5 linked regions of the Oryctolagus cuniculus genome follow. The protein of the gene in region 3 interacts with the protein of the main gene of each other region in a biochemical or structural test. Links are inferred from orthologs where the notes say so. Each region holds a gene or a part of one and is shown on either strand. Other genes may lie near its edges.

Region 1 (3,794 bases), on a different chromosome or scaffold from region 3:
ATATAATCTGAGGGCTAAGTGTTAGGCCTCAAACCTAACCTCCAGTATGCAAAGATCATAAATCCAAGCTGGATAAATTTTAAGATCCAAAAAAACAAAACAAAACAGCCAATGAAGTCCCATTCAGGCTAAAAGAGAATAGTGCTGCTTCAAGTTATAAACTGCACTGGCCATTTAAATAAGATCTCATAGTGTCCATAGTGTACTTGACCTGAATTCTGAATAGTATAGGGTAAATTTCTGCCTCATTAAATATATAACCTATCAAGTTCTTAGTGACTAATGGTGAAGGGACACTATCCCCTTTTAAACCTTTTCTTAGTGGTTCTTCCCAGCTCTAGGAACATGTCAAGAATGCAAACTAATTTCGACAATAAGGCCAAGATAGTTATTTGATTCAAATTTGCATGTTTTTGTTTTGTTTTGTTTTCCCCCAAAGGAGAGGCAACCCTCTTCATTTATCTCATGAGCGATATCGGAAGCTCCATTTGGTCTGGCAACAACACTGCATTATAGAAGAGATTGCTAGGAGCCAGGAAACTAATCAGATGTTATTTGGATTCAACTGGCAGTTGCTGTGAGCTCCAATTCTGCCTCAAGACAATCACGAATGACTTCAGTGGGAAGACTGATTGAGAATTACGGAGACCTTTCCAAGGGCTGGGGAAGGATTGGAGGGTTTTTTGCTCCATGTCCAGATTCACGTACATCAATAAAATATTCCTTAATGGAGTATTGCTTTCAATTAGAAAATGTATGCTTCAAGGGAAAGAAGGACATAGATTATCTGTTTTATGTTCTAGAACACTAAAGAAATGCTTGTTCACGCCATGTGTCTGATTCTGCTAATATTTCCAGGAAGCTCATTCCCCTTCATAATCTGTCCGATTTCATTTCATCCACCTAATGAATGAAGTCACATCAAGTAAATTGTGTACAATGTTGTATTGGATAACTTTTCTGCCATTTTGTGTTTGTTGGTTTTTCCCCCAAGTTTAGTCTAGCTGGCACTGGATCACTGACAAGAGTCTAATATCTGTGATAGTCTTCCTTGCAGCTGAAGAGGAAATGCAGAAATCATGCATTACAGTTCATTTGAGAAAGACTTCAAAAATGTAAACCTATTATTTGTGCTTTAAGGAAATACCCCTAATTTCCACCTGCTGACTCCTATATGGACAGATTGTGATTTCAGCCAGTGTAAAACAGTATTTTTCTTCTGTAGACGCCAAGAGGACCTAGGATACTGCTTTCGTTACTCATTCCTGATGAGAAGAGTAGCCTGTAATCCACACCTCTGACTACAAACAGCTTTGTTAAATTCTGAAATTACACTTTCTATTTCCCAGAGGCAGGTTTCTACAGTGATATTTCTTATCTCTTAATCATGGAACTACCCTATCTGACTCGTAGAAACCTAATATGATTCTGATGGAAACTATTTATAGAATGAGAGTAAGAAAATTCTCCCAGTGAATGGATCATGACAATTGTAAATTAAAACTATCAGATTTAAGCCAACTCTGCAACCTTCTGTGTCTTTGTAAAAGACAAATCCTTGATTTGTTCCCTGTGTGCAACCTTCTCATAAATTCTGGTTGTATGACTAGTACAAACAACTTTAAAAAGCCATGTAATCAGTAGTCTGCATCCCATAATAAATGCCCTGTGGTTGAGCCATCTTGTTTATAGATAACCGAAGTCTCCCGACTCTGTGCATAGACTTCTTGGTTTTGGGCTTTAACTTTTTATATCAAGAACTTGTGATACAAAACAAAAGACAGAAGATATATTGAAACCCTCTATTTTAGCTTCTGTTTTCTCTGGGGTAATGTCAGGTGTTTGAAAGATTCAAAGACTGTATCTTATTTTGACTTTGGCTACTACTGTCTTATATGTGTGGAAGTGTTTTGCTAACTGCTTTTTGCTCAGCAAAGGCAAGCAAATAAAAATATATATGCTAAGTGATTCATGCACATTTGGGGCGAGGTATTTTTTTTTTTGGTACTTTTATGTAAAGAAAAGTGAATTTTGTGGTAAGGGCTTGGCAGGAGCCAGTATCGGAATCACAATCATGAATTTTACTTGAATAATTGCTATTCAGAAGATATCAGGAAATATCTACAACTGTAATGAATTTGTAACAATCAACAGGTGAGGATCAGAAAACTCAGTATTCACTTTGTCAGATTTGCCAGTTTAAATGATTTGAACATTTTCCTTTGTTTCTTATATAATTTATCTGATGGATTGTTTGGAAGTCTGACCTAGAATAGACAACAGAAAATGCTGATTTCTGCCCTGATTGGCCCCAGTTTAACAAAATAAACTTTCATTCAAGTTGTTTCATGTTCACTTCATAAATCCTGGAGTTAAGTTCTCAAGCTGCCAGAAGGACTACCTGGCGATGGCCAGCCAGACCTTAGCTGCCAAAGAGCACACTTCTTACTGAGTTCTGCTTATTGGGCTTGATTCAGATCTCCACACTATAGATGAACGTAAGTTTCAGCGCTGCCCCAAGCCCGAAGGATTTCTCATTATGTTCAGATGTACCAGTGGTATGCCTTCATCACTGCAAACAATTATGCTTATGAAGTTTACTCACAAACAGCCAAGTCACTTTGTTTTCTTTAGCACAGTAAATGAAGGAACAAGTTCAACAGGATGGCCCCAAAACTGTGTTTCTCAAATGTTTAATGAGGGACTGGCAAGAATTTTAATGATACAGTGAAGAAAAACATATCTGTAAAATTAATTTATTATGTTGGTGTATGGGCTGTGAGTTCATCTTTTAGTGGTCATTTGTCATTTCATAACAACTATGCATTTTGGTTCACTGTGATGATGATCTATATTTAGTGACTGCAACATGTTTATACCACTGATTCAAATTCCATCCATGATGAAGTTATACAAATAATGCATATATTGATATCTTTTATTGCAAAAATGTAAATTTAAAACTTGTATAATGTTCTTGTGCTTTTTGAAATAAAATATATGTGTATATTTAAAAAGAAAAAAGGGACTTCTCATGTTTGGGGATTTGGGTTTGAAGTATAAAAATTTATAACTAGATAAAAGCTATAGTAAAAAATTATGCTTATCAGTTCAGGCAAATTTTTTAGAAGACACAGATGTTTAGTGTAAATGGATGTCCAAAGTTTTTGACCATGCATTCCATCTGTAAATAGTTTTTTAAGCATACATACCAAATATAAGTACATATTTTTTTGTGTTCATATAGTACCATGCTAATACATTAAGTATGATGAAAAACAGCTCAGAGGTGGGCATTTGGCCTGACAGTTAAGACCCAGATTGGGGCACTCACATCCTGTACTGGAGTGCCTGAGTTCATGCCCTGGTTCTGCTTCCATTTTCAGCTCCCAGGAAATGTATGCCCTGAGACACAGCAGGTGATGGCTGAAGTAACTGGGTCCCTGCCACCCACATGGGAGACCTGTACTGAGTTCTCAGCTTCTGCTTCAGCTTGGCCTGCCCTTGGCATTGTGGGCATTTGAGGAGTGAACCAGCAAATAGGAGTTCTCTGTCTCTAGCTCTCCCTCTCTAATAGATAAAAATTAGTAAATACATTTTTTAAAACATAGCTCAAGGAAGGGAGATTAAAAGACCACTTGAAATAGAAACAGATATTTAAGTATCTTCCAAGTGAACCTGTACATCCCTTTGTGTATGCACACTTTATTGTGCAGACAGCTGTCTGGAGCAACACTGCCCGGAAAAGTTCTGCATTTGCATTGCAGGGTAGTAGTCACCATCTTCACATGGCT
Region 2 (4,804 bases), on a different chromosome or scaffold from region 3:
TGCCCCGCTGTGGTCACTTGTGGCAGCCCAGCCGCTGCCTCTCACCAGTGCAGGCCTTGTGCAGATCCTGGAGCAGGGCACACACCGTGGACGTCTGCTCTAGCGAGAAGCCCTGCTGGCGGCAGAAGATGAGTGCGTGGTGGAAGAGATCGAGGACGATGGCATCCCGCAGGCTCTGCGAAGGCTGGCTTAGCCCCAGCAGCTCAGCCAGCAGCCTGGGTGGGGAGTGAGGACGGCGGGAGCCAGCGTTTCCTCACGTCCTCCCAGCCGCCGCCCCGCCCCAGCCCGGCCCAGCCCGGCCCGTACTGCCTCGTCTCTTCCGTGCTCGCTGTCTTCTCCAGCTGCTGCATGGAGTGGATGTCCAGGTACTTCCTGTCACGGGGAAGAGGGGACGGAGTACTGATGCCTCCTGTCAGAGCGTCAGGTTGTCTGGCAGGAGGCCTGAGGTTGAGGTTTGGCTCTGTCACTAACGTGCACCTTGAGCAAGTCACTTCCCTCTGTGGCCTGGGGTTAGGAAACCTGTGTTCAGCCACAGATGACCTAGGTCAGTGCAGGCCCCACTGTCCCCGTGGCAGCTGCGATATTCTATCCATAGCCTCGGTCCTTGGTGCCTCTTTGCAGCTGGGAGGTTACAAGGCTGTGTGCCCGTCACCGAGTCGTGGCATCTCTGGCCTCAGCCTTCTCCTCCGTGCAATGGGAACGGCGCAGTTGCTGGGTGGGGCTGCTGGGAGGAGGCACCGGAATCCCCACCCCCCAAGCAGTTCGCACTCACCACATGCAGATCCGGGGCTGGGGCAGCGGCGGCTGCGGAGAGAAAGCAGCTTGGGAGGGGAGAGCTGTGCTGTCTGCGGTCCCTAAACCCTGGTCGGTGGCCAGCGCCCAGCGGGCCCGAACGCGCTCTAACTGGCCGCCTCATTTCCAGGTCCGCGTCCAGGCAACGCGGTCGGGGCTGGACTTCGTGGATAACGTTATCCATGAACACATTCACAATCGGGGGCACAAGTCCCCCACCGCTTTTCACCAAGGCAGCCCGGGAAAGTCTAGAACAGGTGGCGCCCCGTCGGAGGGCCCTTCTGTGAGCATTCACGAGCGGACCACTGCGTCTCGCCCTCACCGGGAACAAGTTGGCTGCGGGATCTTCGTCGGCCGCCGCGACCGACTCGGTCCGCACACCCATTTCCATCTGCACCGGATCCACCCCCGGGGCTGAGATCCTTCTGTTCAAGCTCCGGCTGGGGTCGGCTGGACGTCTGGCTGACCGATGCCGTTGCTCCCTCGCGCCGCCGGCGATCTGGGTCTCCAGCAGCTCTCGCCAAGGCCCGGCCCCCTAGCGACGCTTCAGCCAATCTACACCGGAGAGACGCTGGATGCAGCCAATCCGCCGGAGAGGGCGGCTCCTTCCGCCTCCACGGTGACCGTTGCTAAGGGGCCCTGTGGAAGAAGACATAACGTATAAAATGCACGCACACGCCAACCAGCGAGGGGGCGTGCGCATGTGTAATAAGTTGCAAGCGCCCACACGGGTGCCGTCTCGCCAAAGTTGGGACCAGCAGGATTGTCCTGAGGGCTGGAAAGTGAGTGCGGTGTCAGTTACCATGGAAACTGTCTACTGGCTAATCGCGGGGAGAAAGAGAGGGCGTTCCGAAAGGAACCCAACCACGCGAGAGGCACGACCCATAGAAACAGGAAATAGAGGAGGTTCGCCACATCCGGCGCGGCTCTGGCGCCTGCGCGCTGCGGCGGGGAGGCCGGTGACGTCCGGTGGGATCCAAGATGGCGGCGCTAGGCTGAGCCTGCCGTCGGTAAGGGTGTCGGGGCCGGCGGGGGCGGGATCCGAGCAGGGTATCTGCGCGGGGGCCGCTCCGGGCTGTGGCGCGCCGGCCGCTCCCACGCCTCTGCTCTGCCTTCTGCAGGGGAAGTGCCGCCTCCGCCCGCCTGACGCCCCTCGGGGGACCCTGCGCCGCTCCCCGTCCCCGCCGCGGCCATGTCCGGGCCCGGCAACAAACGCGCCGCCGGCGACGGGGGCTCGGGGCCCCCGGAGAAGAAGCTGAGCCGCGAGGAGAAGACCACCACCACTCTCATCGAGCCCATTCGGCTCGGGGGCATCTCCTCCACGGTTCGTGGGCTCCTGCCACCGCCCTCAGAGCTGCCACACTGCTGCCTCTTGTGCTTCGCCCAAACCGCCCGAGCTCGTGCTCCCAGCTCCCCGCGCGAAGCCAAGTCCACGTGGAAACCGAGGACACGGTGCCCCGTCTGCCCCTCGCAGATAGGAAATGGGTTGCCAGAGGGCGCTGGCCTCTGAGTCGGAACGGGACGGCGGCAGGAGTAGGCATTTCCCCCTGTGGGCGCCTTGAGTCGCTCTGAATCCCGTTAAGCAGTATGGCCGTCCCCGCCCCCCTCCCGGTTCCTCTCCTGTGTGCGATCCGTTTCCGGGTGGTCAAGCCCCCGTGTTGTGTGTTGGTAGGAGGAGATGGACTTGAAAGTTCTTCAGTTCAAGAACAAGAAACTGGCGGAGCGTTTGGAACAGAGGCAGGCCTGCGAGGACGAGCTCCGCGAGCGGATTGAGAAGCTGGAGAAGCGCCAGGCCACGGACGATGCCACCCTCCTCATCGTCAACCGCTACTGGGCCCAGGTCCATAGCCTTTTCCGCCCTCTGAGACGCGGCCATGCTCCAGCCGCCGCTGTCCCGTTGCCGGCCGGGAAAGGAGCCCAGTGGCCGGCCGCAGCGAGGGAGCCCTAACTTGTGGGTGCTTTCTCCCTTCAGCTGGACGAGACTGTGGAAGCCCTTCTGCGTTGTCACGAGAGCCAGGGCGAGCTGTCTGCAGGAGCGGAGGCGCTTGGGACGCAGGAGGGGCCGCCGCGCGATGGGACCCCTCTCCCAGAGCCAGGGACGTCGGAGCTGAGGGGTAGGGCCAGAGCCCTGGAATCCGGGGTACTGCCGTTCTGGGAAGAGATCTAAAGAGGAGGGGGCTCTGGTACGGGGCTGCTGAGTGTCTTCACCTCCCACTGCCCCGTGGGCAGCAAACGGCTTTGGCATCTGATTCGCTTGGTTCGCAGCGAGTTTATTTTTATGTTTTGCTGCCCGTGAATTTGAAAGTCTTATGTGTTGGCTGTGTGCTTAGCATTGTTCCAGACGCGGAGAAATCAAACAGGGAAGAAGCGGTCATAAGTTACAGTAAGGAAAAAGTATGGAGGCCCCTGAAAGGGACAGTGCATGCATGTGTGTGTGCGTGTGTGTGTCTAGATTGCAAAGGTCCCCCTAAGGGACAGATGTGACAGCTCTTGTGGATGTGGTTTGGCCTCTTTGAACTTGTGTTGTCTCGTTTGCAAGGTGGCACAGCCGTGCACTGTAGGTTGCGTCCAGGGGCCAGGGGAGTGTTGAAGAACTCAGTCTGGAACTTGGCAGCAGTTAGCGGGGATGTCCGTGACCGTGACCGTGACCCTCCCCCTCCTAAGGGTCTGTCCCTCCCTCCCAGAGCCCTTGCCGGTGCAGCTGCGGCCCCCTCTCAGCGAGCCGGCCTTGGCTTTTGTGGTGGCCTTGGGTGCCAGCAGCAGTGAGGAGGTGGAGCTGCAGCTGCAGGGCCGGATGGAGTTCTCCAAGGCAGCCGTGTCGCGGGTGGTGGAGGCCTCAGACCGTCTGCAGCGCCGAGTGGAGGAACTGTGTCAGCGGGTGTACGGCCGAGGTTGGTTTGCCGTGGCCCACCCCACAGCTGTCCCTCCCCACCTGTATCTCCATGCGACCCCACGCCCCCAGCCCACGGGCCGCCAGAAGTCCACAAGGAACAGATCAGCTGTGTTTTCAGGAAAAAGGGTTAGGTTGCCGGTGGGGGTTTCAGTTTGATTCTTGCAGTTAAAACCTCAAGAGCTGGGCTGGAGGAGAGGGTGGTGGTTGGCAGCCCCCTTTCAGCTGGAGACCTCTCTGAGTCCTTGTCCAAACCTCAGTGGCCGTTGGCTGATCCACACAGCGCAGCTGCAAATGTCCGCGCTTGGCAGGTTGACAGGCTCCTCCCAGCCTTAGTTTTGTCGCCCTAGCCTGGGCGCTCTGGGCAGATGACTGCCCTTTCTGAGCTGGTTTCTTCCTCTGGCGAGCGGGCATAAAGACTCTGTCGTAGGAAGTTGGCAAGACAGCTGGTGGATCATGCTGGGCACATGGGAGGCTCCAGATGCGTTAGTGCTTTGCCCCCTTGCGCTGGGCTTGGCTTTTACCGGGGCCCTGCTTTCCCAGGGGACAGTGAGCCCCCCAGTGAAGTGGCTCGGGCTCGCACCCGGGAGCTAGGCCGGGAGAACCGGAGGCTGCAGGACTTGGCCACGCAGCTGCAGGAGAAGCACCACCGCATCTCGCTGGAGGTGGGTGTTGGAGCTGGGCTCTTGGTTGGGATGACAAGCGTGGCTGGGTTCCGGTAAGGGTGGGGGGCGGGGCCACCCATCTGCCTCCTCCCACACCCCCCAGTACTCCGAGCTCCAGGATAAAGTGACGTCGGCAGAGACCAAGGTGCTGGAGATGGAGACGACGGTGGAGGACCTGCAGTGGGACATCGAGAAGCTGCGCAAGCGAGAGCAGAAGCTCAATAAGCACCTGGCGGAGGCCTTGGAGCAGGTAGCCGGGCTGCTGGGCCGTCAGCGCCGCGGCTGGGCACCGGGGGCCCTGGGTCCTGCATTCACGCCGGTCATCTCTGTGCCCGTCGCAGCTCAACTCCGGCTACTACGTGTCTGGGAGCTCGTCGGGTTTCCAGGGGGGCCAGATCACGCTCAGCATGCAAAAGGTGAGCCGCGCTGGCCCTGCCGGCCTCCCGGAAGTCCCTGC
Region 3 (4,963 bases):
CCCGCATGGGAGACCAGGAGGAAGCTCCTGGCTCCCGGCTCCTGGCTTCGGATCCACACAGTGCGCAGGCCACAGCAGCCATTTCGGGGGTAAAGCAACGGAAGGAAGATCTTTCTCTCTGTCTCTCTCACTGTCTAACTCTGCCTGTCAAAAAAATAAAATAAAAAAAAAATAAATAAATAAAAATTGCTAGATAAGTGGCAAGGATTTTTTTTTTTTTTTTTTTTTTTTTTGACAGAGAGAGCTAGACAGTGAGAGAGAGAGAGAGAAAGCACTTGGGCCATCCTCCACTGCTTCCCGGTCCACAGCATAGAGCTGGACTGGAAGAGGAGCAACCGAAACAGAACCCAGAGTGACAGGGATTTTTAAGAGTTTCTCTTTAGCACTGCACTGCTTGTAACTACGCTTATGCCTTCCTCTTTGGCTATAGAGAGGATTAAGGTTGCAATGGCAGGAAAGCGAAATAAAATAATACGCAGAATCCCACGGTGAACGCACACCATGACCTAAGGTCTGGCTAACTTGATCACAAGGCCTCTACTAAAACCAAAAGCTAGAATTCAGGGCTTGAAAAAAGATTGTGATCAGGAAAATGGGAAAGTTAACCCTTTCTGGTTCCATGGAACTGTGGGCAATTTCTGTGCGAAATTAGGTGGTTCTCATCCTACCCTCCTTCTCCTTGTAGAACTGAATTCCTCCATAGGGAAGGGCTCAGAGCCCTCCAGACCAACAAAATCCTCAGGACAGAAACGGAGGCTACAGGGAGGGGGAATTTAGCACCTGAAGGAATGTTCAGGGTCCCCATAGTCCACACCTGTGAGGAGGTGGCACTTGCGCCCATTCGCACCCTACTTGCGAATGCAGAGAAATCTAAAATGAGTTATCTGGGGCTGGCTATATAGCTCCCACGTGCCTCCACGATGCCTTCCTCCAGATCTGAGTCCTTTTGTAGATTTCGTTGACAACCAACCACTCCTGATCTGCTCACGCGGGTGCACCCCCATTTTCTAACAAATCCAAAGAGCAGGCAAATCCGTCGTTATCTTAGAATGAACACAGACCCATTAAAAACTTATTTCCATGGGGCCTTTTTAACTCTTCTGTCTTCACCTAGAAGTAGCAACCTTGGGAACCCCACTGCAAGGCGGGAACAGACATCCGGCAGCCGTGGGGAAACATTTCGGGGCTTTTACTTTGCGTTGTGCTCCCTAGAAGGTGACAGCCTTTCGGTTTTCCCTCCTGCCCCACGGAGCAAAGTTGATAAGCCAATGAGGGATAACAATGAAGTCCTGAGTTACTTGTGGTTCCGTTTTTTAAACTTTGGAATCAATCTATCGTTCCAGCACGACTCCGGCTGTAAGGTCCCGGTATCTGGGACAGACGCGAGGAACAACTAATGAAGACATACCCCGCCCTCCGCTTCCCAGACCCGGCCGAGCAGGTCCAGGGGACGCGCTCACGTGACCCGTTCTAAAGCGTCACAGGGACACGTGGTTCTAGATACTTCGTCCCCTCCCCCTCAGGGGTGGATTGTTGACAACGCCGGCGGCGGCCACGTGACCTTACGTCATCCCTCCTCCTTTCCCCGAAATCTCTGGCCCCGGATGCGGTCCCTCTCTCCCCACCCCGCCGAACCTAAGTTCGTGACGAGGGGGGAAGACAAAGTAGTATTTCCGTTTCTGTGTCGCTTAACCCACCACCTCTGCTCTGAGCACGGAGAACACTAATTTGTCGATCCGTAACAGAAGGCGGAATGGGAGCGATCGCAGCCGGCGGGCTGCAGGAAGCGGCGCCGGCCCGCTCCTCCGCCCGGCTCCCCCTGCTGCCATGGTAGCGGCGGAGGGCGGAGGGATCTGGAGGCGGCGGAGGGAGACGTCATTGCGGGGTTGTTTGTGCAGTCTCGGCGGCGGCGGTGACCCACAGTGATTCGGCCGCCGCGCCGGGGGGTGGGGGGGCTGCGCGGGACTCTTTTTCTTTCAGATTGACCGCGGGGCAGCTGGGGAGCATGTCGACCCCGGCGCGGAGGAGGCTCATGCGGGATTTCAAGCGGTAAGGGCCTCCTCCCGCCCCCCGATGGCGGCTCCTTCCTGAAGCTGTGGGGCTGCAGGGCGGGATCCCGGACACCTTCCCCTGTTGCCTGTAAAGGCGCCGGCTGTGGGCCCGGCGGGACCTACGGAAGCCCGGTGCTGGCCTCGCCAACCTCTCTGAGGACTCAGAAATTCCGCTGCGACCCCTCCCATCCCCCGAAAGTGGAGAGGTGGCGATCGGCCGGCCTGGGGCGCCCTGCACCGCGCGGCGCCCCCTCTCTCTGGCCCAGAAGCGAGCTCTTGAAGGAGCTTGCTCCTCGCCCGCTGCAGCGGTCAGCTTTGTTCCGCGCCCGGGGGACGGGGTTGGGGCCCGGAGCCCCCTCCCCCCCGTTCCTTTGCGCCCCGCGGGGAGGGTGGGGTGTGCCGCGCGAGGTCGGGAGGTGGTTACCCCATCCCCGAAACCCGACTCTGCCCCCGCCGCCTGCCAGGACCTTGAGAGCTGGCGTCGGAGCGGGGCTCGGGCCGCTGAGCGCAGCCCTATCTATAGCCCGCCGGCCCTGGCGCGCGTCCGAGCCCCGCCGAGCCTCCCTTTGTGACTGAGGTGTGGGGGTTGTGGGGAGGAAACTGCCCCTTTTTTGGTTTGTTTGGTTGCCTTGTGCGGGCTACTCGGAGCTCAGAGAAGCAGTGAGAGAGAACTTAGCGGAGGTTTTCTGGGGGTAGACTTGCCTTAATGGGGACTTGGTAGGTGGTATCAAAACTTGGATTTGCCGCTCAAGAAGTAACCTCTCAACTTGGCCATTGTAAAGGCTTATGTAAGGCATTTGGGAGCCATTGTTTGCGCTTTGGCCACCGTGTTAGTTCACTCGTGGCTTCTCGAGCGATTTACAAGGAGGTGTCCAGCTCCTCGGGCTTCCGGTCAGGAGGCCTGGTTTGCCCGATGTTAACTGAAAACCGTGTTTACGTGGCTCACTGCAAAGCACTGTGTGCAAATGAGTGCCTCTGTATTTGTGCCTTAATGTAGTAGTTTTAGTGTGGGGACAGTCTGGAACAGACCTCTGGGGTAGAAATCTTACATCTGAAGCTTAGAATCAGGAACGTTGCATTCGTTCCCATGACTGAAATTCAAGAGGCGAGACTGGCAGCCGGTGCCATTGTTGCCCAGTTCCTGCGGCGAGTGTTTACTGCTGGGGGGAACACATGGCAGGCAGCCTGGTGCTCCTCCAGGGGTCTTCAGAGGAGGAGGTTTCGGTCTTGCTGCCTCATGAGCGCAGCGCCATCAGAGGCAGCCTGCTGGGCAACCCAGCTGCGGGTCACTCCGAAAAGCCGCTGCCCAGCGAAGCACAGGGGATGCAGAAATCCAGACCCTGATGAACCTGAACCCAGGTGCTTTCGGCCCTCACTGTCTGCACTGAGGTTTGCCCTGCAAAGCCCCTTTTTTGCAACCATGTTGCACAAGCAGCTGTAGTTTGGATTCGCACAGTCTGCCTGCTTGGAGCAGCACCATCAATGGTTCCGGGGAAATATTTTTTTTGCCCTTGAGGTTTTACAGCTGTGGGGCAAGAAGGCAGCCTGTGTACGGGCGTTTTTGAAGAGATGTTTTACTCTTGTAGTAGCTCGAGAGGGATGACTCCCAGGTCGTGAGAGGTATTTATGAGTGCGTTAGAATATCCCTGGTGATGTATTTAAGTCATGTGAGTCACTGCAGCCCGGTGCAACAACAAGGAAATGGGTATGGTTTCTGTCTCCGCATAGCTGGTACAGAGGCCATAAGTGTTCTTTTTGGCCTCCTTCGTGGCTCTAATGCTCGCTTTTAAACCGACCACTCTGGATTTCCAGACTGCAGGAGGACCCACCTGTGGGTGTCAGCGGCGCACCGTCGGAAAACAACATCATGCAGTGGAATGCGGTTATATTTGGGTGAGTTGAAAGATTTCAGTTAAGAAAAACTTGAACATTTTGGTAGTCATACCAAGCTTATTTGCTCTTTGGTGGTGTTTCACATATGGTTTAATACTCAATTTTTTACTTGTTAATATAGTAGTTGAGGGCCGGCACCGCGGCTCAATAGGCTAATCCTCCGCCTGTGGCGCCAGCACACCGGGTTCTAGTCCCGGTCGGGGCGCCAGATTCTGTCCCGGTTGCCCCTCTTCCAGGCCAGCTCTCTGCTGTGGCCCAGGAAGGCAGTGGAGGATGGCCCAGGTGCTTGGGCCCTGCACCCCATGGGGAGACCAGGAGAAGTACCTGGCTCCTGCCATCGGATCAGCGCAGTGCGCCGGCCGCAGCACGCCAGCCATGGCAGCCATTGGAGGGTGAACCAATGGCAAAGGAAGACCTTTCTCTCTGTCTCTCTCTCTCACTGTCCACTCTGCCTGTCAAAAAAAAAAAAAAAGTCTTGAAGTCTTGATACCAAGAATATGAGAACTTTGTGACACGACTTGCAGTGAGAATGTTTCACATCTCAGTGTCCCAGTGTGAGATGCCTGGAGCCCTGGGAGAAGCAGCCTTCGATGGGATACTGAGGCTGTTGAGTGTGACCTTTTCTGTGCTGCCACGCTGGTTTTCCTGGACTTGCTCTCTTTTCTTTCATTCTTCTTAAGCTAGCGTTTTGCACTAATATTTGAATATCTGAAATAGTTTCATAAACAACTTGGAGTTGTCAGACTCCATTGTGAGTCTGCATATAATGACCAGTAGAGAAGCAGCAAAGGTCACCGTGCACAGTAAAATGGTTCTGTCACAGTCAGGCTGTTCCCTTGCTGGAGGTCCTGGCTGTGCCCTGCCAGCAGTAATTGCTTTTCCCACTGCTGCTTAGGAAACCTGCGACTGGGGTGTGGCGGCCGGGAGGTGATCTGCGCGAGCGAGCATCCCCTGTGCTGAGCGCGTGCTGTTTGGAGAGCAGGGTGGTCGGGGGCTTTCAGTACACCAGAGAGTATTGA
Region 4 (2,964 bases), on a different chromosome or scaffold from region 3:
ATAGAAAAACGAATCCGTCGATATCGGTTCAAGCCGTTTGTGTCCGCTACGTGCCAGGCACTGATGGGCGCTGAAGATACGGAGGAAAAGCAGGCCAGCAGGGCCTTTGTCCCGGTTTGAAGAAAGACCATTAACGAGAAAGCAAATGAGCCAGCGAATTTCAGCCAGCTGCGTGGACGAAGATGAAAACACACAACAGACAGGGCCAAAGGGCAGGCTCCTGAGCGGATGCCGCTGGCAGCGGTTCTTAATCCCCGAGCTAAACCACCCGTGTCTTGCAGTGACCTGGGGCAGGCTTCCCAGCACAGAGCATTAAATGCAAAAATCATTTACGGACTTAAGGAATCCTAGGACTCTCCAAGCTACAACGTCAGAGGCGGAAAACAAAGTCTTTAAGAATTCTCGAGTGGCGCGAATTTTGAATATTCATGCCGCCCAATCAGGAAAAGTCTGACCCTCAGCGGCGCGGGCTCCGCCCCAGAGCACAGCACCGGTCACCCGCAGGCCCGCAGGCCCGCAGGCCGAGCCCTCCCCGCGCCGAGCTGGCCACCCCGCCGCTTCCGGTGCTAAGCTGCTGCTGTACACAGCGGCCGCCGGACGCGCCTACTTGTGTCCTGCAGTCTTCCTAAACCAATAGCTGCAATCAGCCACTCGAGTTTAAGACGGCCCAGCGTGTGTAACAAAGCCGCCCGGCCACTGCCGCAACGCAGAGGGGTAGGGGCGGGCCATCGCCGCTGTTAGGAGTGAAGACGCACTTGGCACTCAACGCAAGTCCAATCACGCGCCGGGAACCTCGGGGTCGGAACGTCTTAGAGAATGCCAAGTACTCCACCCCCACTACGTCTGGGCTGCAGTAACTTACTTGTGCGAAGGGACTAAGGGGGGACGTTATGTGAACACGGCTCTTTCCCGATCAGATGGGTGGCTCTGAAAAGAGCCTTTGTGGGTTAGCGGCACGGCAGGGCCTCACTTGGAGCTGGTGTACTTGGTGACAGCCTTGGTGCCCTCGGACACGGCGTGCTTGGCCAGCTCGCCGGGCAGAAGCAGGCGCACGGCCGTCTGGATCTCCCGGGACGTGATGGTCGAGCGCTTGTTGTAGTGCGCCAGGCGCGACGCCTCGCCGGCGATGCGCTCGAAGATGTCGTTGACGAACGAGTTCATGATGCCCATGGCCTTGGACGAGATGCCGGTGTCGGGGTGCACTTGCTTGAGCACCTTGTACACGTAGATGGAGTAGCTCTCCTTGCGGCTGCGCTTGCGCTTCTTGCCGTCTTTCTTCTGCGCCTTGGTGACAGCTTTCTTGGAGCCCTTCTTGGGCGCGGGCGCGGACTTGGCTGGCTCGGGCATGGTAAACACCACACCAACGCGATACAGCGGGGAAAAGGAATAAGAGGATGGGCGGGCCTGATCCTCTTATAACCATCTTATGCAAATTAGGAATCAAAATGGCTTTCGTTTCCATTGGTCCGTGCAGGAAAGTTGCGTTTTCGGTAAAAGCCTGCGTAATGACAACAGCTCGACTTTATTGGCTGTTTCTGAAGCCATATTAGGACCAATGAAAAGCTCGTTCCTGACCCCACCCCCAGGGAAGCTTATAAAGGCTTTCTTCGTGGGTTCCTTTCAATCTTGTTTTGTTGCGAGGTTCTGCGCCCTAGCTGGGTTTGGTTTCTTTTTCTTAACTATGTCTGGTCGTGGCAAGCAAGGAGGCAAGGCGCGCGCCAAGGCCAAGTCGCGGTCGTCGCGCGCCGGGCTGCAGTTCCCCGTGGGCCGGGTGCACCGGCTGCTGCGCAAGGGCAACTACGCCGAGCGCGTCGGCGCCGGCGCGCCCGTCTACATGGCGGCCGTGCTCGAGTACCTGACGGCCGAGATCCTGGAGCTGGCGGGCAACGCGGCGCGCGACAACAAGAAGACGCGCATCATCCCGCGCCACCTGCAGCTGGCCATCCGCAACGACGAGGAGCTCAACAAGCTGCTGGGCAAGGTGACGATCGCGCAGGGCGGCGTGCTGCCCAACATCCAGGCTGTGCTGCTGCCAAAGAAAACCGAAAGCCACAAAGCCAAAAGCAAATAAATTTGACGACCTGAACCAAAGACCAAAGGCTCTTTTTAGAGCCACCCAAGTTGTCAAAGAAAGAGCTAACGCGCTGCTTGTTATCAGCCCTCCGCTTGACACTGTGGTGGCTCTTAAAAGAGCCTTTTGGGTGGACGGGAGTGGTGTCACGCCTAATCAATCACTTGCTCTTGCCAGGCTTGTGGCTCTCCGTCTTCTTGGGCAGCAGCACGGCCTGGATGTTGGGCAGCACGCCGCCCTGCGCGATGGTGACACCCCCGAGTAACTTGTTGAGCTCCTCGTCATTTCTCACGGCCAGCTGCAGGTGGCGCGGGATGATGCGCGTCTTCTTGTTGTCGCGCGCCGCGTTGCCCGCCAGCTCCAGGATCTCGGCCGTCAGGTACTCGAGCACGGCCGCCAGGTACACCGGGGCGCCGGCGCCGACGCGCTCGGCGTAGTTGCCCTTGCGCAGCAGCCGGTGCACCCGGCCCACGGGGAACTGCAGCCCGGCGCGCGATGACCGCGACTTGGCCTTGGCGCGCGCCTTGCCGCCTTGCTTTCCGCGTCCAGACATGACGGCTAAAAACCTGATTTCAGCTTGTTTTTCTAGGAGAGGCTATGGAAAGGATAGGCAATTTGATGTAATTTATAAGAGCTACCGGGAGGGGTGAAGGGAGGCAGTTTTATTGGCCGAGAGCGGCAGCCAATAGGAAAGCGGCACTCGGCCTTTCGGTTTGCATCCTGCGGCTGCGAGGAAATGACGGCTTTTGTATCTACCTACCAATCGCTGAGAGCCACATTAAAGCCCCTTATTTGCATGCCAGGATTTTTAAAGAGAGAAGGTGTTTTTTTTTTTTTAAATGCTTTCTTTTTCACTGAGTGGCAACATGTGGGGTTTCTTTTACTCCACATTA
Region 5 (4,238 bases), on a different chromosome or scaffold from region 3:
AAGGATTTCTGTTGGAGAGAGACAGGGCATGGGAACCAGAAGAGAGGAACAGAAGAGGGGGAAACGCCTCAAGCCAGCCCCCCCACCCCCCGCCCCCAAGCCCACTGCCCTCTCCAACACACTCACAAAGCTTATCTTCTTAGGTACTTTGACCTGGCTGACAATGCCTCCACGGATGTAATCGGAGAAGTTGGAGGTGTCACAGATGCTAAAGGTGTAAGGACCTATGATGGATGGGGAAGTTGTCAAGTCTACCCACCCTCCCTAAAAATCCTCCACACCCACAAGGTATGAGAAATAATTGTTTTCCCCCAGCTCAGACACCAAGAACTATCTCCCCTCTTCCCCCGACAAGTTCCACTTGGGGATCAGAAACTATCTCTGGTCTGCCCCAGACCCAACTTAAACCCCACAACAGCCTGCGTCTCTGCTCCCCATCCCAATCAGCTGAAGTATGAGTACATCCTGATCTGCCTCGTTCAAACACCAGAGACCTCCCCGTTCAGACTCCAAGAGCCATTCCCCTAGCAATAGCTCTGACACAGACGGCATCTCTCCCCCATGCCCGCCGGCTCTGCTTGGACCAGGGGACTCTGTCTCTGGTTCATCTCAGACACCCAGGATGTGTCTGTCTCCCCTCACCGGGAACCCAGGGACATCATCCCCCCTTCACTGCGCTCCTGGCTCCCCTGAGTCCCCCATGGCCTCGGCTCACCCAGGACTTTGATCTCTATGGGCTGGTTTCCATTGAGCTCAGTCATGCCCTGTACTTCGGAGAAGGAAACAAAATCGCCACTCTCAAACCCATGTCGGGCCTCATCCAGGCAGGTAACCACACCAGGGTTGTCCTAGTTAAAGAAGGAGTGAGCCTCAGAGGCAGGCTGAGGGTACCAGGAGCACACAAGGACTGCCACTGCCCATCTACCTGCCAGGAGCCAAGTCTGGTCCTTACCTTGGTGACCATAGAAACCATGGCGCTGAGGGGCTGCTCCCCGTTGGAATCTGTGAGGATCATTTCCTCTCCAAAGTCGCAGAAGAGTTGCCTGTAGGGAGAGACAACAGGGCTGATGCCAAAGTCCCCTCCCCGCCCCCCGCCCAAGACCCATGCATCCCTCAAAACGCAGTGAGTACTTGCTGAGCAAATTCTCAGTCCATCACTGCTGGAATCACCGCAGGAACCAGACGGCACTCAGGCCACAGGAGGACAGAGGAACACAAAATAATCCAAAACTCAGGTGGCTGGGGAGGGATGAGGGCACAGGAGCCTGGGGGTCTCAGTCTGGGCCTGACAGAGGTCAGGGACAAAGAGAGTGGGGGGCAGCACTCACCCAAACAAGCCTCTCGTGTCTGCCACTACCAGCTTGATGCCACGGCTATGACAGAACTCGCCCACGCGCAGCTGGTCCTCCAGGGGGCTGTTAGTGAGGACCACCACCTGCAGGGATGGAGCGGCTCAGCAGGGAGGCCCAGGCCGGGGGCCTGGCACTGGGGCGAAGCGGGGAGAACAATGAAGGGAGGTTGTGCAGAGGGCTAAAGTGTCCTTAAGGCCCAGGTGCTGGGCTTTTTGCCACTTCAGTCCTCTTTCACAAAGGCAAAGTACCTACTGTGTGTCAGACTCCACCAGGGTGAGCCTTGGCAAAGAGAAAACCGAATCCCTAAAGCATGCCTGGAAAGGCGCAGAGGCAGCCGGGAGGATGGAGTATGCAGAACAGCTGACTCACTTGTTTGACAAACACCCACTGCTGCCTGCCTACAACCCTGCCGTGCCCTGGGAGAGGCAGCCAGCGTCTGAGCTCACTCCTACCACACCCACCTGCTCCCGATTCTCAGGACAACGCCTGCCCGGCCCCGTCCTGGGGACTTTGCTCTCTGCCTCATACGTCCATCCTGACCCGCCAGGGTGAGCTCCTACTTAGCCACATCGGGATTCAGCTGTGGTGCCCTTGGCTTCCTGGGACACCTCAGGACTGACTCTCAGCTTCCACAGCTCCTCTTTGCAGTCCAGACATTTTAATGAATACCCATGGAACCCTTACCACGTGGCAGCTGCTTAACCCTCACCAAAACTCTGAGGTCAGTACTGCTCCCATGCCCAGACTACAAAGAGGGAAAACCAAGAGCCAGAGACTAAGGGACCTGCCCAAACCCTACCAGGAGAGCGAGAGGCTCCTGGCAGGGCAGTGTGGCCCTGGCGCCTGTGCTCAGGCCCCTAAGCTGCACTGTCTGCCTGCACGCATCCTCCTCCCAGAAAGGCCAGTCCCAAATCTCATCCTGCTGGCACCCTCTAGGCTCCCCCAGGACAAAACCTGGCACACAGGGTCAGCCCATTAAGCAAGTGCTGAGCACCCAGAGATGGGATCTGCACATGGGGCAAGAGGCTGTGTGGTACCCCCAAGGTACCTGGAAGCCACTGAGGAAGTCCTCAACCAGCGGCCCAGTGTAGGCGGTGACAGGCACGTAGCTGTTGAGTTCAGCGAGGCGGGGCTGTGACACCTCAGCGCGGTTTTTCCCTATGTCCTCCTCTCGCAGGTAGAACTGCAACGGCAGAAAGGTCAAGGGAGATGGCATCCAGAGGAGCTGGTCTCTCAGCAGCAGGCGAGGGGGCAAGGAGGTACCTGGGAGGAGAGGTCAGCCCACTGGGCCGTGCCCTGGTCATGGAGGGTCACGGCCTTGACCCCGCCAAGGATGATGTTCTTCGCGATCTCTACCCCCAGGCCCCGCAGGCCTGACACCAGAACGCTGGATGTCTGGAGCCGCTTCATCGCCTCATGGCCCAACACATACCTGTCAGGTTAAGGGGCACTCCAAGTCAGGACCCGGCCCACCCAACCCTCCCTTCGCAGTACCCCGCCTCCCACCTCTCAGCCCAGCCTCGGCCCCGCTTACAGCTGCCGGGAGTAAAGGCCCTCATCGATGTCTGCTTCACTGCCGTTCTTCGCCATTCCCTAGGGAGGGAGAGGACGCGCCGGGTCAGGAAGACAGGCAGGAGCGGGGCACGGACAAACAGGGGTACCTTCCCACCTGCCAGTCTCCAGAGAGAAGACACTCACGTTGGTTGGCGCCGAGGGCACTTGGGGCAACACGGACTGGGCAGGGGAGCAGTTAGAACCCGGCTTTGGATCAGGCCCGGACACGCGACGTTTCTTGGACAGCGGCGAGCTGGACATCTGGAGGGCAAGAGGAAGGCAGGAGTGAGCCTGGTGCCCGCGAGGACATTACTTGATTGGTCAGTGGGAACTGCAGGGGACGACTTCAACATGAGTCCCACATGAGTCCCCCCATTTTACACAAGAGGAGACAGGCAGATTGGTGAGGTGACTTGCCCAAGGTCACTCAGCCGTCAGAGGTAAGAGCTGAACCCAGGTGGTGTGGCTGGCAGATCCATGCAGCTCACCACTGAGCCAGCTGCCTCGCCCCAGCCCAGCGTAGTGACGGACAGACTCCAATCCTGCAGGATGACGGGAGTAACAAGAACACATTGTGGAGAAGTCAGCAAACGTATGTGGCTTCAGGACAGCTCCAGTTTTCAAGTCTCTAGCCAGCTACTCCTTGGCAGCTGTAATCAAACTCTTATGGGCCTCAGTTTCCTCATTTGTAAAATGGGGGCAGGGGGAGGCGATACTACCACTTACCTTACCCATGGGGCTGAGGTGAGAAAAAACACAGACCGAGGAGCCTGGCACGGAGTAGGCAAGCAGTAATAAGCAACCATTCTCCTCTCCCTCCATCCCACGGACGGCAGGGGGAGGAAAGGGGAGGAGGGTGGGAGAGGGAAAGGAGGCCTGGACATCCAGCAGGGTGGCATGATGGCAGGAGACACCTTGCTGAGAACCTACTCTCCAGAGTGGCTCTGGCAGGAGTTTTGCAGAGTCCAACCCCCTAACCCCAGCTTTGCTAGAGAGTCGGCCCAGGTTAAAAAAGGAAAACAAAACAAAAGAAAACACAATGTTGCAGGAAGAAAGGAAAAGCAAATGCAAACACACACTTTGAAGTCTTGGCTACAAGTGGAGGGAGCCCCTGATACAAACTAACACTTCATGAACCTTGCCTGCTCTGTCTGTCCTCAGGGGGCCTCCCCACCAGCTTTAGACTACTATTAATAGCCCCCAACTCACACTGTGAAGGAAAAAAAGTTGCATTCAGACACGTTAGTGACTTGATCAAAATTCCCAGAGTGTAGCTAAGCTGGGAACAGACTAGGATCTGCTGACTCCGAAGCCCAGGCTACCTCCCGGTAT

The links.
Region 1: the proteins of UBE2B (region 3) and UBR1 form a complex in vitro, tested with the Homo sapiens proteins (2 studies listed by BioGRID and IntAct, with this or other methods). The link is inferred for Oryctolagus cuniculus from reciprocal best matches to the Homo sapiens genes UBE2B and UBR1.
Region 2: the proteins of UBE2B (region 3) and RNF40 form a complex in vitro, tested with the Homo sapiens proteins (3 studies listed by BioGRID). The link is inferred for Oryctolagus cuniculus from reciprocal best matches to the Homo sapiens genes UBE2B and RNF40.
Region 4: of the proteins of UBE2B (region 3) and histone H2A type 2-C, one has a biochemical effect on the other in vitro, tested with the Homo sapiens proteins (2 studies listed by BioGRID, with this or other methods). The link is inferred for Oryctolagus cuniculus from reciprocal best matches to the Homo sapiens genes UBE2B and H2AC20.
Region 5: of the proteins of UBE2B (region 3) and UBA1, one has a biochemical effect on the other in vitro, tested with the Homo sapiens proteins (10 studies listed by BioGRID, with this or other methods). The link is inferred for Oryctolagus cuniculus from reciprocal best matches to the Homo sapiens genes UBE2B and UBA1.

Annotation. Positions count from the first base shown.
Region 1 is NC_091443.1:65,928,690-65,932,483, reverse strand, and holds the end of UBR1 (E3 ubiquitin-protein ligase UBR1), read left to right. Parts: intron 1-439; coding exon 440-581; 3' UTR 582-3,024; downstream 3,025-3,794. UniProt on the Homo sapiens protein: E3 ubiquitin-protein ligase which is a component of the N-end rule pathway. Recognizes and binds proteins bearing specific N-terminal residues that are destabilizing according to the N-end rule, leading to their ubiquitination and subsequent degradation.
Region 2 is NC_091450.1:6,351,818-6,356,621, reverse strand, and holds the start of RNF40 (E3 ubiquitin-protein ligase BRE1B), read left to right. Parts: upstream 1-1,667; 5' UTR 1,668-1,802; intron 1,803-1,913; 5' UTR 1,914-1,984; coding exon 1,985-2,116; intron 2,117-2,464; coding exon 2,465-2,632; intron 2,633-2,764; coding exon 2,765-2,906; intron 2,907-3,476; coding exon 3,477-3,683; intron 3,684-4,225; coding exon 4,226-4,347; intron 4,348-4,450; coding exon 4,451-4,597; intron 4,598-4,688; coding exon 4,689-4,763; intron 4,764-4,804. Other genes in the region: CFAP119 (cilia- and flagella-associated protein 119), read right to left, coding at 46-215, 307-372, 773-804, 1,115-1,183.
Region 3 is NC_091437.1:22,632,474-22,637,436, forward strand, and holds the start of UBE2B (ubiquitin-conjugating enzyme E2 B), read left to right. Parts: upstream 1-2,002; 5' UTR 2,003-2,005; coding exon 2,006-2,049; intron 2,050-2,072; exon of another isoform or gene 2,073-2,628; intron 2,629-3,863; coding exon 3,864-3,944; intron 3,945-4,963. UniProt on the Homo sapiens protein: E2 ubiquitin-conjugating enzyme that accepts ubiquitin from the ubiquitin-activating enzyme E1 and transfers it to a E3 ubiquitin-protein ligase. In vitro catalyzes 'Lys-11'-, as well as 'Lys-48'- and 'Lys-63'-linked polyubiquitination.
Region 4 is NC_091438.1:48,064,669-48,067,632, reverse strand, and holds histone H2A type 2-C, read left to right. Parts: upstream 1-1,618; 5' UTR 1,619-1,681; coding exon 1,682-2,071; 3' UTR 2,072-2,117; downstream 2,118-2,964. Other genes in the region: histone H2B type 2-E, read right to left, coding at 967-1,347; histone H2A type 2-B, read right to left, coding at 2,232-2,624. UniProt on the Homo sapiens protein: Core component of nucleosome. Nucleosomes wrap and compact DNA into chromatin, limiting DNA accessibility to the cellular machineries which require DNA as a template.
Region 5 is NC_091453.1:32,732,144-32,736,381, reverse strand, and holds part of UBA1 (ubiquitin-like modifier-activating enzyme 1), read right to left. Parts: intron 3,672-4,238; exon of another isoform or gene 3,633-3,671; intron 3,449-3,632; 5' UTR 3,324-3,448; intron 3,168-3,323; coding exon 3,051-3,167; intron 2,946-3,050; coding exon 2,887-2,945; intron 2,785-2,886; coding exon 2,616-2,784; intron 2,536-2,615; coding exon 2,401-2,535; intron 1,436-2,400; coding exon 1,329-1,435; intron 1,044-1,328; coding exon 953-1,043; intron 849-952; coding exon 716-848; intron 225-715; coding exon 127-224; intron 9-126; coding exon 1-8. UniProt on the Homo sapiens protein: Catalyzes the first step in ubiquitin conjugation to mark cellular proteins for degradation through the ubiquitin-proteasome system.